2 linked regions of the Struthio camelus genome follow. The protein of the gene in region 1 interacts with the protein of each later gene in a pairwise test. Links are inferred from orthologs where the notes say so. Each region holds a gene or a part of one and is shown on either strand. Other genes may lie near its edges.

Region 1 (5,366 bases):
GGATACGCAGGCCAGGAGTGCCCTCTGCCGAGCGCGCTGCCCGGGAGCGCCCCGTGGCCTGCGCCGCTCTGCCCTGCTCAGCTTCAGCTCCTGGGTGGTCCCTCACCACGGCCCGTTAGCAGTGCCGCCGGTCGCGCTGTGCCGCTGGCTGTGCAGCACTGCTGGTCGCACAGTGCTGCTGGTCGTGCAGTGCCACTGGTCACATAGTGCTGCTGGTTGCACAACACTGTTGGCTGTGCAGTGCTGTGGGTCACACAGTGCTGCTGGATGTGCAGCGCTGCTGGTCACATAGTGCTGTTGGTCCCACAATGCAGCTGGTCACACAGTGCTGCTGGATGTGCAGTGCGGCTAGTTGTACAGTGCCGCTGGATGTGCAGTGCTGCAGGTCGCGCAGTGCGGCTGGTTGCACAGTGCTGCTGGTTGCGCAGTGCTGCTGGTTGCGCAGTGCTGCTGGATGTGCAGTGCTGCAGGTCGCGCAGTGTTGCTGGATTTGCAACGCAGCTGGTTGCACAGTGCTGCTGGTTGTGTCGTGCTGCTGGATGTGCAGTGCTGCAGGTTGCGCAGTGCGGCTGGATGTGCAGCGCAGCTGGTTGTGCAGTGCTGCTGGATGTGCAGTGCTGCAGGTCGCGCAGTGCTGCTGGATGTGCAGTGCTGCTGGTTGTGCAGTGCTGCTGGTTGTGCAGTGCTGCAGGTCGCGCAGTGCTGCTGGATGTGCAGTGCTGCTGGTTGTGCAGTGCTGCTGGATGTGCAGTGCTGCAGGTCGCGCAGTGCTGCTGGATGTGCAGTGCTGCTGGTTGTGCAGTGCAGCTGGTTGTGCAGTGCTGCTGGTTGTGCAGTGCTGCTGGTTGTGCAGTGCTGCTGGATGTGCGGTGCTGCTGGATGTGCGGTGCTGCTGGATGTGCAGCGCAGCTGGTTGTGCAGTGCTGCTGGTTGTGCAGTGCTGCTGGATGTGCAGTGCTGCAGGTCGCGCGGTGCTGCTGGATGTGCGGTGCTGCTGGATGTGCAGCGCAGCTGGTTGTGCAGTGCTGCTGGATGTGCAGTACTGCAGGTCGCGCGGTGCTGCTGGATGTGCAGCGCAGCTGGTTGCGCGGTGTCACCGGTTGTGCTGTGCCGCTGGTCACACAGTGCTGCTGGTTGTGCAGTGCTGTTGACAGAGCGCTGCTGCTCGCCGCGCGTCCCCGCACGGGAGGATTTCCTAGCCCGGTGGCACCCTTGCTGAGCTGGCGCGCGTGCGCTTCAGGCAATGCCCGGCCCGGCAGCACCGAGCGCAGCGGGCGCAGCGGTGAGACGCTCCGCCGGGCCCCCCAGGAGGGACGCGCGGAGCTGCTGCCCGCCCCGCGGGAGGGGGACGCGCCGGCAGCCCCGCTGCGGCAGTGACCGCGTGGGCGCCCACCCCAGCGGGGTCCCGCGCCGGCCGCCGCGGGCGCCGGTGCCCCTTCGGCACGGCGGGCCACGCTGGTCCCTGCGCTCCCTGCTGCCAGGGGGCCTGCGCCCCCGCGGCCCCCCGGCTGCGAGGGGACGGCGGGGCCCGTCGCGGCGGCAGGACGGAGCGCGGGCCCGCGGGCGACACGGGCCCTGCTGAGCAGGGGCGTGGGCGTGGGCCGGGGTGCGGGTGTGACGGTGTGGTGTGCGGGGGGGGTCTGCGGGGGCGGTGTCACGTGCGCGGCGTCTGCCCCTGCGGCGCGGCCCGCAGGCAGCGCGTGCGCGGTGTGCGCGCTGTGGGCGGGGCGCGCGCTCAGGCGGCGTGCGCAGTGCGTGTGCGCCGTGGGCGCAGCGTGCGTAGGCAGCGTGCGTCCCCGCGGGGCGGGGCGGGGCGGGAGGGCGCCGCCGCCGCGCCGGCAGGGGGCGCTGTGGCGGCGGGGGCGGGGCCGGGCCGGGCCGGGCCGTGGCGGCGGGGCCGGAAGGGCCGCGGGGAGCCGGTGCCGGCGGTGCTGGTGCCGGTGCTGGTGCCGCCGCCATGTACCGGGCCCTGTACAGCTTCCGCTCGGCCGAGCCCAACTCGCTGCCCTTCGCCGCCGGCGAGACCTTCCTGCTGCTGGAGCGCAGCAACCAGCACTGGTGGCTCGTCACCCGCGCCGGCTCCGGCGAGACCGGCTACGCGCCGGCCTCCTACCTGCAGCGCCTGCAGGTGCGCGGGGGGGGTGAGCGGGGTGTGGGGCGGGGAGCAGGGAGGCGGGGGGTGTGGGGTGTCGGGGCGGGGGGGTAAGGGGTTGTGGGGCAGGGGGGTGGGGGGCGGGGGGGTGAGGAGTGTGGGGCAGACGTGGGGGCGGTGGGTGTCGGGGCGGGGGACGCGGGGCAGACGTGGGGGTGGTGGGTGTCGAGGTGGGGGGACGCGGGGCAGACGTGGGGGTGGTGGGCGTCGGGGCAGGGGACACGGGGCAGACGTGGGGGTGGTGGGCGTCCAGCGGGGGACGTGGGGCAGACGGGGGGTGTTGAGGGGGTGTGGGGCAGACAGGGGTGCTGGAGGCAGGGGGTGCTGGGGAGGAAGTGCTTGGGTGTGGGTGGGGGGGCACAGCGTGGCCAGGGTGCCAGTGTGCTCGCCGCAGTCTGGGGCGGGATGTGGGGTGGCTCTGATGCCACGGTGGGGTGCCGGGTGCCAGAGGTGTGGGCTGGGGAGCGGGAGAGCAGGCGCTGGGCACAGGGGAGCGCGGGAGGGTACGGCGAGGTGGGGACCGAGGGGCGACTGCACTCAGTGGAGAGGTGCCGGCTGGGCTGAGACCGGGCGCAAGCTGGGTATGTGCTGAGAGTGTGAAATGTTGGGGGAGAAAGGGGAGGATGATGAGTCCTGAGACGTGGCTGTCCGGGCAAGTTGAGCCGGGCAGGCACTTGGGGGGCTGCAGGTTATGGTGCAGGTGGTGGGGAGGGTGGGCTGGTTGGGGCTGGGCTCACAGAGGGGTTGCCCCCTAACTAGGGAAGCAGCTCTGCTGTCTGTCACATGTATGGCATGTGGATTTGGGATCCTGGCTCTGGACCCCTTTGGTACTTCTGTCGCTTAACGCAAAAGGGAATGGCCTGTCTGATGCAGAGAGCGGGACGTTCCCATCAAAGACCACCTGTAAGCTGAGTTTATGTATGTGCAAGGGTGGCTATTGGAGGGCAGCAGCTTGGGGTAGCCCGATGCATGAACTGTTCATGTCTGTTCAGCGGTCCCGTTGTCATGAGGGTTGGGGGTCGCTGATGTTAGCTACAAAAAGCAGATGTAATTCTCCATACTGACGGGACTTCAGCCTGGAAGAACTTCTGGGACATCATGCCCCTGCAGGGGTGAGAATCGGGAGTTTCAAGGAAGTCTGAAGGGCTGGTACCCTGGAGAAACAGTCTTCCTGTTGTTGACATGATGTTTAGAGATCAAGGTCCAGGGAGCACTAAGTGCAGGTCAGGGGCAAAACAGAAAGTTCAGCAGCTTCGACCTGAGGAGATGGGCTAGGTAAGCGTCACTTGGGTCTTGACTTATAGGTCAGGAGCCAAGGGATTAGAGGATTGACTTCACTCTTGCAGAAATGTGAGGAGAAGACAGAAAACGTTTATAGGTCATTCTCTAGGGAGACGGTAAGGGTGATCCCCCTCCAGAGGATACGCGTAAGTGACTAGACAGGCCTAAAATCTGGCAATTAGCAGCCCAAGTTGATCAAGTATGGGCTTTATTTACAGCTGTGTAGGCAGCTCCATGCTAGTTTGCTTGGTCATAGGTAGCTTTCTAATCGTGCAGTACCACAGCTGGCATGAGAGCACCGAGGGAGGTGTTCATTGCGCTCCTTCCACCAACAGGCCGTGACACTGATAGCAGACGAATCTGTCCTGGGGACTGGGAGAAGCCACAGCAAACGCCTGTGACTGCGGTGACAGTAATTACAGCCAAGTCAGTGATACTGGTAACTACAGAGAGTCAGAGGCGGCTCCAGCATCCTCGCAGGAGTCGGAGCAAGGAGGGCAGGTTCGGTGGTCAGAGCTGTGTGTGCGAGCCTCGCGCTGGTGTTGGAGAAGGTGAAGCTAGTTAGCTCGTGCAGTGCAGGCTTTCGTCTAATGGAGGCTTCCGAGGGAAATCACGGCTTCTGGAATTAAAACCTACTTTTGATATAAGGTAGTTCATGCTTTTTTAATACTTCAGGCCCTCAGGGGATGGATGTGGTAACTGCATGCAGACTGCTCCTTGTATCAGTGAACGAGTAACTGCACACGAATGCACAGGAACGTTATGAATGTGTTGAGTCTGGTTGAAAGCGGCAACAAACCCCTTCCTTTCAGTGAACTGATGATCCTCCTTCAGGTGCCGCTGAACTTCTGATCAGGCAGTAATGCAGTTTGTAAATGACTGTAGGTGTGTTCTTTGCAGAACACGTCAGTGCCTTGTGAGACAAGCGTTACCCCTAACACACACGTGCCCTCGCCGGGTAGCAGACTGTCTCTCTGCTGGCTGCCTGTTTTGGAAGCTGGGCCTTTCTGCTGGACTAGGACCTCTCCTGCAGCTTGGCAGAATGGGCTGACAGGAGGGGGACATCTTGTGAATAAATAAGCCCTTAAGCTATTTACAGGGCTATTTAAGTACAGAGCAAAGGCCTCTTTAAAACACTAGATTTTAAAACCCTGTGGTGGCATCGCTCCAGGCTGCTGCTCAAGAGTTTCCTCTCTGCAGTCCCTTGCTTCATTGGCCTGTGTGCCCTGACGCCTCCTCTCGCTGCTCTGGGTGCTGGAGTCTTCTCCGTTGCAGCAGCTGCCTCCTGGTGCAGTCTGCCAGTATCTCTCTACCTCATTTATAATAGTTTCAAAATCTGACAGAAAGGCATTTTCCTGCTGATTTTGCATTCTTTTCTGATGTTATGTTTTGCTGTAGCTGTAAAGCACTCAGAGGTAGCTTGCAGTCTCCTATATACCTTCACAGTGACTACTGGCAGTGCATTAGTAATTCACTAATAGTGTTACTGGTGACTTTGTGTATGTTCTCCTCTAGTTCAGATGTGACTTTCTCAAATGCTCTTAAACCTGGTACCAGGAAATAACAGTCTGTCTTGTCTCCTGTCGTCTTTTTTTTTTTAAATGGAAAAGTTTTTGGAGCTAGAACTTGCCTGATGAGGCATGAGACAGCAGGATCTAATTTGCTGCTCTGCAGTTATAATAATGCTCAGTGTATGTGACTTTCTTCCCACTGTTGCATCCTGCTGGCTCTGAAGAGCTGATCTGAAGTCAGAATTTGTTGTCATCCATGGAAAGCAGGCCTGGCTTGGGAGAAAGCATCTTCTGGCTGAATGCTCACTTGCAACTGCTTACCGAGCGTTCAGGATGAGAGCGCAAACAATTTGCCACCCTGTCTCAGTTTAATAAGGGTGCTGATACTAATTACTGACAGTGGTTTGGGAAGCAATTAATGT
Region 2 (5,366 bases), on another chromosome or scaffold:
TAAATCCACCATTCTCAGCTCTGTATTTCCTTGCTTCAATCTCAGTTGTCATTGAAGCTGCCTCAACGAGCGACTGGTGTTCTCGTTCTGATCCCCGTGATGGTGCTAGTGACTGCAGGCCAAAAAAAGGGTTGTGCTGGCAGACACCTAAGATGCACTCTTGCTCTGAAGTGGCTGTACAAATAGCATCACGGCATTTCGTGTTTATCGTCTGGTAAAGACTTCAGTATCTTATATGCTCTGTCTTGGAGAAAAAAAGCTTTTTTTCCCCATTTAACTGCTACTCCTGGAAATTCACTGGGGATTCAAAGAAAAGCTGTGTTTTCCAGGCCTCTGCATAGCTACAAAGAGTATAGAGGCTGCAGGACAATTTCTGCTCTGACTTTCATCCGTATAACCCATACTGTCTTGAAATCCTACCTTTCCTTTCACCCGTGGGTTGTTTGGGGCAGAGGGGGCCTGCGAGGCAGCCACAGGCAGCAACCGTGTTTCTAAGGGATGGGGCAAGAAGAGAGCCTGGTACCCAGAGCTACCAAATCTCTCTGGCTCAAACCTCAGCAAATCACCTCCAAATATACAGCAGTCTAGATGTACAAAGCAAGAATTTTTTTTCTGTGCACCTTTGAGAACAGAAGTGCAACTTATTGGAAACCCGTGTTTGGGTCGCTTTTTTATTTTTCCTTTAAACGAAAGGCCAGGAGGCATCTCCTCCAGCTGCATGGAGCAGCTCCTGCTCTGCAGAGCATGCATCTGGTGAGGAGCGCGTCCACTTAACCATTTGCACACCGCACCTAAAGTCAGGTAGGGAAGAGAGGTGACGTGCGCCTTTGCCGTGGATTTAAATCAGTGGAAAACTCGGGCAGGAGCCAAGCCAACATGCAAAGTTGTGGTGACCTTCCACCAGTCAGCCCGTGGCCCCAAGCGTGACTGCCGGGTGCCACATCCTGGCCAGCCACGGCCCTCGGGGGAGCCAGCAGGCCCTCCTCCCCGGCCACCTCGGCTCCAGCGCTGCCTGACGGAGGGCGATCCTGACGGAGGGCGATCCTGATGGAGCGCCATCGCTATGGCAAGCTGCAGGTATAGGGATTAGTGCAGCTCCGGGGGGGACCCTGGTCGGGTGTGCGCGCCCCACTCCGAGCAGCACTCCCCTGCCCGCACTTCAGTGTGCTTTGGGGAAGGACGAGCACGTGAAGCGGCGTCACACTTTGCCAGGGTTTTGGTGGCGGGGGGGAGGTGTTTGGCCTTTAGAAACATGGGGTGGCTATGGTTTTTAATAAACTCTTTGTGGGAGAAAGTGAGGGAACGCTCCTATTCCTCCTCTGTTTGTAGAGCTCTTTTGGGAACACATCAGACTTGTGAGAATATAAAGCTGCACTTCAAACTCTGATGCCCTCCGCCTGAGTGAAAGGTAAAAACGCTTGCAAACCTCATGCACGCTGCGTGCCTCTGCGCCTGCACGCGTGTGTGTGTGTGTGTGTGTGTGTGCACGCGCGCAGCACTTTCTTACACTACTATGACAGCACACGCTCCTGCAAAGCTAGTCAAGGCTTTAGCAACACAACTCCTCCCTCCGGTGCCCCGTGCGGGCGAGCGGCTCGGGCGTGCTGCCTCGGCTCACTCCCGCCTGACCGCGGGGCTGCCCGGCACGACTCCGCTCGGGGCCTGCGGGCTTCGCGCGGAGGAAAGGAGGACCGGGAAAACGCAGAGGCAGGCACAGGACTGACCTACGGCGCCAGCGGCGACTTGCTCCCCTTGCAGCAGAATTACATCGGGGAGGAGGGGAGAGGGAGGAGGGAGAGGAAGAGGAGAGGGGGAGGAGGAGGAGGAGAAGGGAAAAAAAAAAGAAAATCCAGAGAATTCCAGGCTGGCAAATATAGTGAAACAGCATGATCGGGGTTCATTCGCTCTAGAAGAGCAGAGAGGAGAGAGGACGTTAAACCGAGAAGAGGGAGAAAGGTCTGTGGCTCCTTTCCCGGTAGGAGCAGTGTTTCAGAGGTAAAATGATTCCCCCGAGCAGCGCGACTGAAGTCAGCGTGGACACGGTGGAGAAGGAGCACGAAGTGGAGAGCACAGAGCAGCCCCCCTCTCCGGCATCGACCACCAGCCAGGAATCAAAGGTATTGAGAGAACAAGATTTTTTTCTTTTTTTTTTTCCTTCCCCCCCTCCTCCTTTCTTTGCTTTATAAAGAGATGTGTTGCTTTGATTGCTATTTGGAGCCCTGTGGCAGGGTGTGAAATAGCCTGCTATAAGCCATCTCCAATCCGACAGTCATACTTCTGAACGCTTGCAGGTCACCTGGGCGGCTCGGGGCTCTGAACGGGGAAAAGACCTGGCTTTTGAGTTGTTGGGGTTTGGGGATTTTTGTTTGTGTTTTCCCCTCAGTATTATGGGGGGGGAGGGAGAGTCAGGGAGGGGATTGCTTTCGGTTGATATTTTTAGCTATTTTCACACTAGGCATGCATCCCTTAGAAGCATCTGTTCATAGTTGGAAAGACTGGTTTTCTCACAGGCTCAGAGAAGAGAATTTTGTCTGGAGGGCTGGGGTGTTTCACCTGCCTCACCCCCTCCAGCAGACCCGTCAGTGAACTTTTGCTGTTTAGCAAGCCAGCAGTTGAAACGGGATATGAGTGATAATTTTGGCAGAAGAATCTGTATGTACGCCACTCAAAAAGGATTTTTTTTTTCCTAGCCTCTTATTTACTCATTAATTATTAAATGTGGTTCAATTCTCCTTGCTGAAAGCCAACATCCAGCTCAAATGGTGTGGCTTCTAAATTTTTAATTGACTTGCATATGAAAAGTTTTTCTGCCAGCCGGTATGTTACTTGGAAAAAAGAGAAAGGTAACCGAAGAAAATTAACCTTTCAGAATGAATGCTCTTTGCAGCTTACCTGGATAACGTACTTTTCTTATCAGTATCATGCTAGCATCTGACAGCCCATCCCATGGACCATATTCCTAGTGATGCTATGTGCTGTGCAAACATGTAAAAATGGGGAGGTCCTTGTCACTAAGAGCTTACAGCTGGGCAGTGCCTTGGGAACTACTGTGTGAACTAAACAGCTGCTTCACAGAGGTGGTTCGTGTTGCCCGTCGTTTAAAGTCTAACGTAGGAAGAATCTACGTTATTCTGAGTTATAACGAGGTTTCTGTAGAGTGCGTTGCAATAATCTGTCTGTGTGGGTAGAGTTCTGACGTGGGGTTCGGGATCTTTTTTTAGATGCTATACTCCAAGGAAGAGAGCTAAGGTATTCCCTGTGTAAAACAGGCTCTTTAAAAGAAAAGAAGTCTCACAGCATCAATAGCATCCACTATTCACCATACACATTCAGCACTACCGGGATATTGCTACGCTCTTCCTTGATAATGGGAAATGACAACTAAAAGGGTTATTTGTTTAACCTCAGATCCCCAAAGGATCCAATAGGTCAGTACCCTACCTCCCCCACAAGGAGCACTTCCCTGGAGTTGCAGAATTGCTATTTGCCCAGCAGGAAGACCATCCCTGTGCTGAGGTCCCAGAAGTGAGTGGAGCCTCCACTATATGGCCAACGCCACTTTCTCAAATGTGCTGAGCTGTGCCCAGGGCTGTGCAGGCTGCACGCTCCCTTTGCTGCGACCCTTGCTCCCGTCCTGGTACGTGGTCATGGTGCTGGAGGTACCGTGCTCATTGTGAGACTGCGACAGTGTGCTTGAGGGACTTTCCCACCAGGTCACCAAGCTCTGTGCCCAGCATACATTGACCAAAACAGAACTCCTAAAATAAGAGAAAGCAAAGTGCAGCATGCAAGATTCCTTTTGGCTGCTTGCACAACCAAGGCACTCACAAAGATGACAATAGGAATTAGGCACATCTGGCAGTAAAGAAAGAGATTACTCACTGGTTTATAATCAAATTTTATTATCCTCGGTTTGGCCAGTCTTGTGAGCGTTTGAAGTGATGCAGGGGAACAGGCAAAAGTCTATGACTGTCTGTGCAGATTAGTTGATACTATTGCTTGCATACAGACATTTTCAGTAAATATATAATCTGTGTATTTACATTTTAGGACTGCAAATATGATCAGAAAGCATGCTGTATTGTCATTTCCATAGATGGACTCAAAAGAGGCTTCTGATCACTAGGGTAATGAGATTACGTTTGGTTTTTTGTTTCTTGCAAACAGGAGGATGGAAGAATTCTCAGTGATTTTGCAAAGATGTTGTTTGTGCTGTTTTTTTCCAAGGGAACTGATGTACTTCACAAGCCAGAGGCTTTGACACATACATAAGTCAGTGTGTGCCAAGGGCCTGCGTGCAAGCTTTTATCTCCCAGTGCCCCTGCTGAGGGAGCTATCCTGTCATTCATAGAGGACTCAGCTTTCTTCAGGTACCTCTCTGTTGCATAGGGGAACAAGTCCGTGTCCGCTGCAGCTACTGCAGAGCAGTTTCAGCAGTATCTAGTTACTATAACTTGTTTCTGTGGCAAAACACTATTATAACTCCAAATATAGGAATATGGATAGTAGCAACCTTCAAAATGTGCTGGAAGCATTTCAGTAGAAAGAAAACTTTGAAGAACTAATGTAGAACTAATGTAGCATAGATCTCTTACTTCCAGTCCTGTACAATCATGGACAGCTGTGGCATATAATCCCTTGCAGTACCAAAGTCCAGAAAATGTGTCCAAGCAAGCACACTCCAGAATGCACTCAGGAGATGACGTGGAGGACATACTGCAGTTCCTGACTAGCTTGAGTTTGAGAGGCAGAACTCCAGGGTGTTAAGAAGTAGCTGAAATTTGGAAGACTGTAAAGCATAACTCTCATGCTTTAGTCACACACCCTTTCCACAGTAATGCCTCTCACTCATAATAAACACCAAAGCCTTATACCACCTCTACCTACGGATCAGGAACATGCTTACAGGTGAGCAAACTCAGGTGCTGAAAGTTGAATGACCAGGTCCTCATGCACGTATTTTCCCTTATGAGCACCTCAGTGCCAGGAATTCAGTGCAACTGCTGAGAAGGAACAAATTCAAATGGACTTTTAATATGCCACATTGCATGGCCCCTAGCAGGAAGCCACAAATGCATGTGTAGAACCTGCCTGCATGCTGCTTATGGTGTAGTATATATAGTGTGATATAATGTGAATGTGTCTTTTGGATTGTGTGTCCTGAGGCACTTTATGTGTAACACCTCTGGTGTATTATTTCACTAATATGATTTAAAATAGGTGTCTTAAGTGCGTCAGGCACTGTAACTGGGCCTTCCTCTAACAGTATGTATACTGCTGCTGTGTTAAAAACCCCACAGCATGAATTTAGGAATGATGCAAAACTAATAACTAATTTTTTTTAATTAATTTATTGGCTCCCTAAA

What was found. The genes of interacting proteins can lie anywhere in the genome.
Region 2: the proteins of NCKIPSD (region 1) and STAC interact in binary tests that used the Homo sapiens proteins (3 or more experiments, as listed by UniProt). The link is inferred for Struthio camelus from reciprocal best matches to the Homo sapiens genes NCKIPSD and STAC.

Annotation. Positions count from the first base shown.
Region 1 is NC_090955.1:14,967,787-14,973,152, reverse strand, and holds the start of NCKIPSD (NCK-interacting protein with SH3 domain), read left to right. Parts: upstream 1-1,870; 5' UTR 1,871-1,957; coding exon 1,958-2,128; intron 2,129-5,366. UniProt on the Homo sapiens protein: Has an important role in stress fiber formation induced by active diaphanous protein homolog 1 (DRF1). Induces microspike formation, in vivo. In vitro, stimulates N-WASP-induced ARP2/3 complex activation in the absence of CDC42.
Region 2 is NC_090943.1:53,932,082-53,937,447, forward strand, and holds the start of STAC (SH3 and cysteine-rich domain-containing protein), read left to right. Parts: upstream 1-1,495; 5' UTR 1,496-2,000; coding exon 2,001-2,117; intron 2,118-5,366. UniProt on the Homo sapiens protein: Promotes expression of the ion channel CACNA1H at the cell membrane, and thereby contributes to the regulation of channel activity.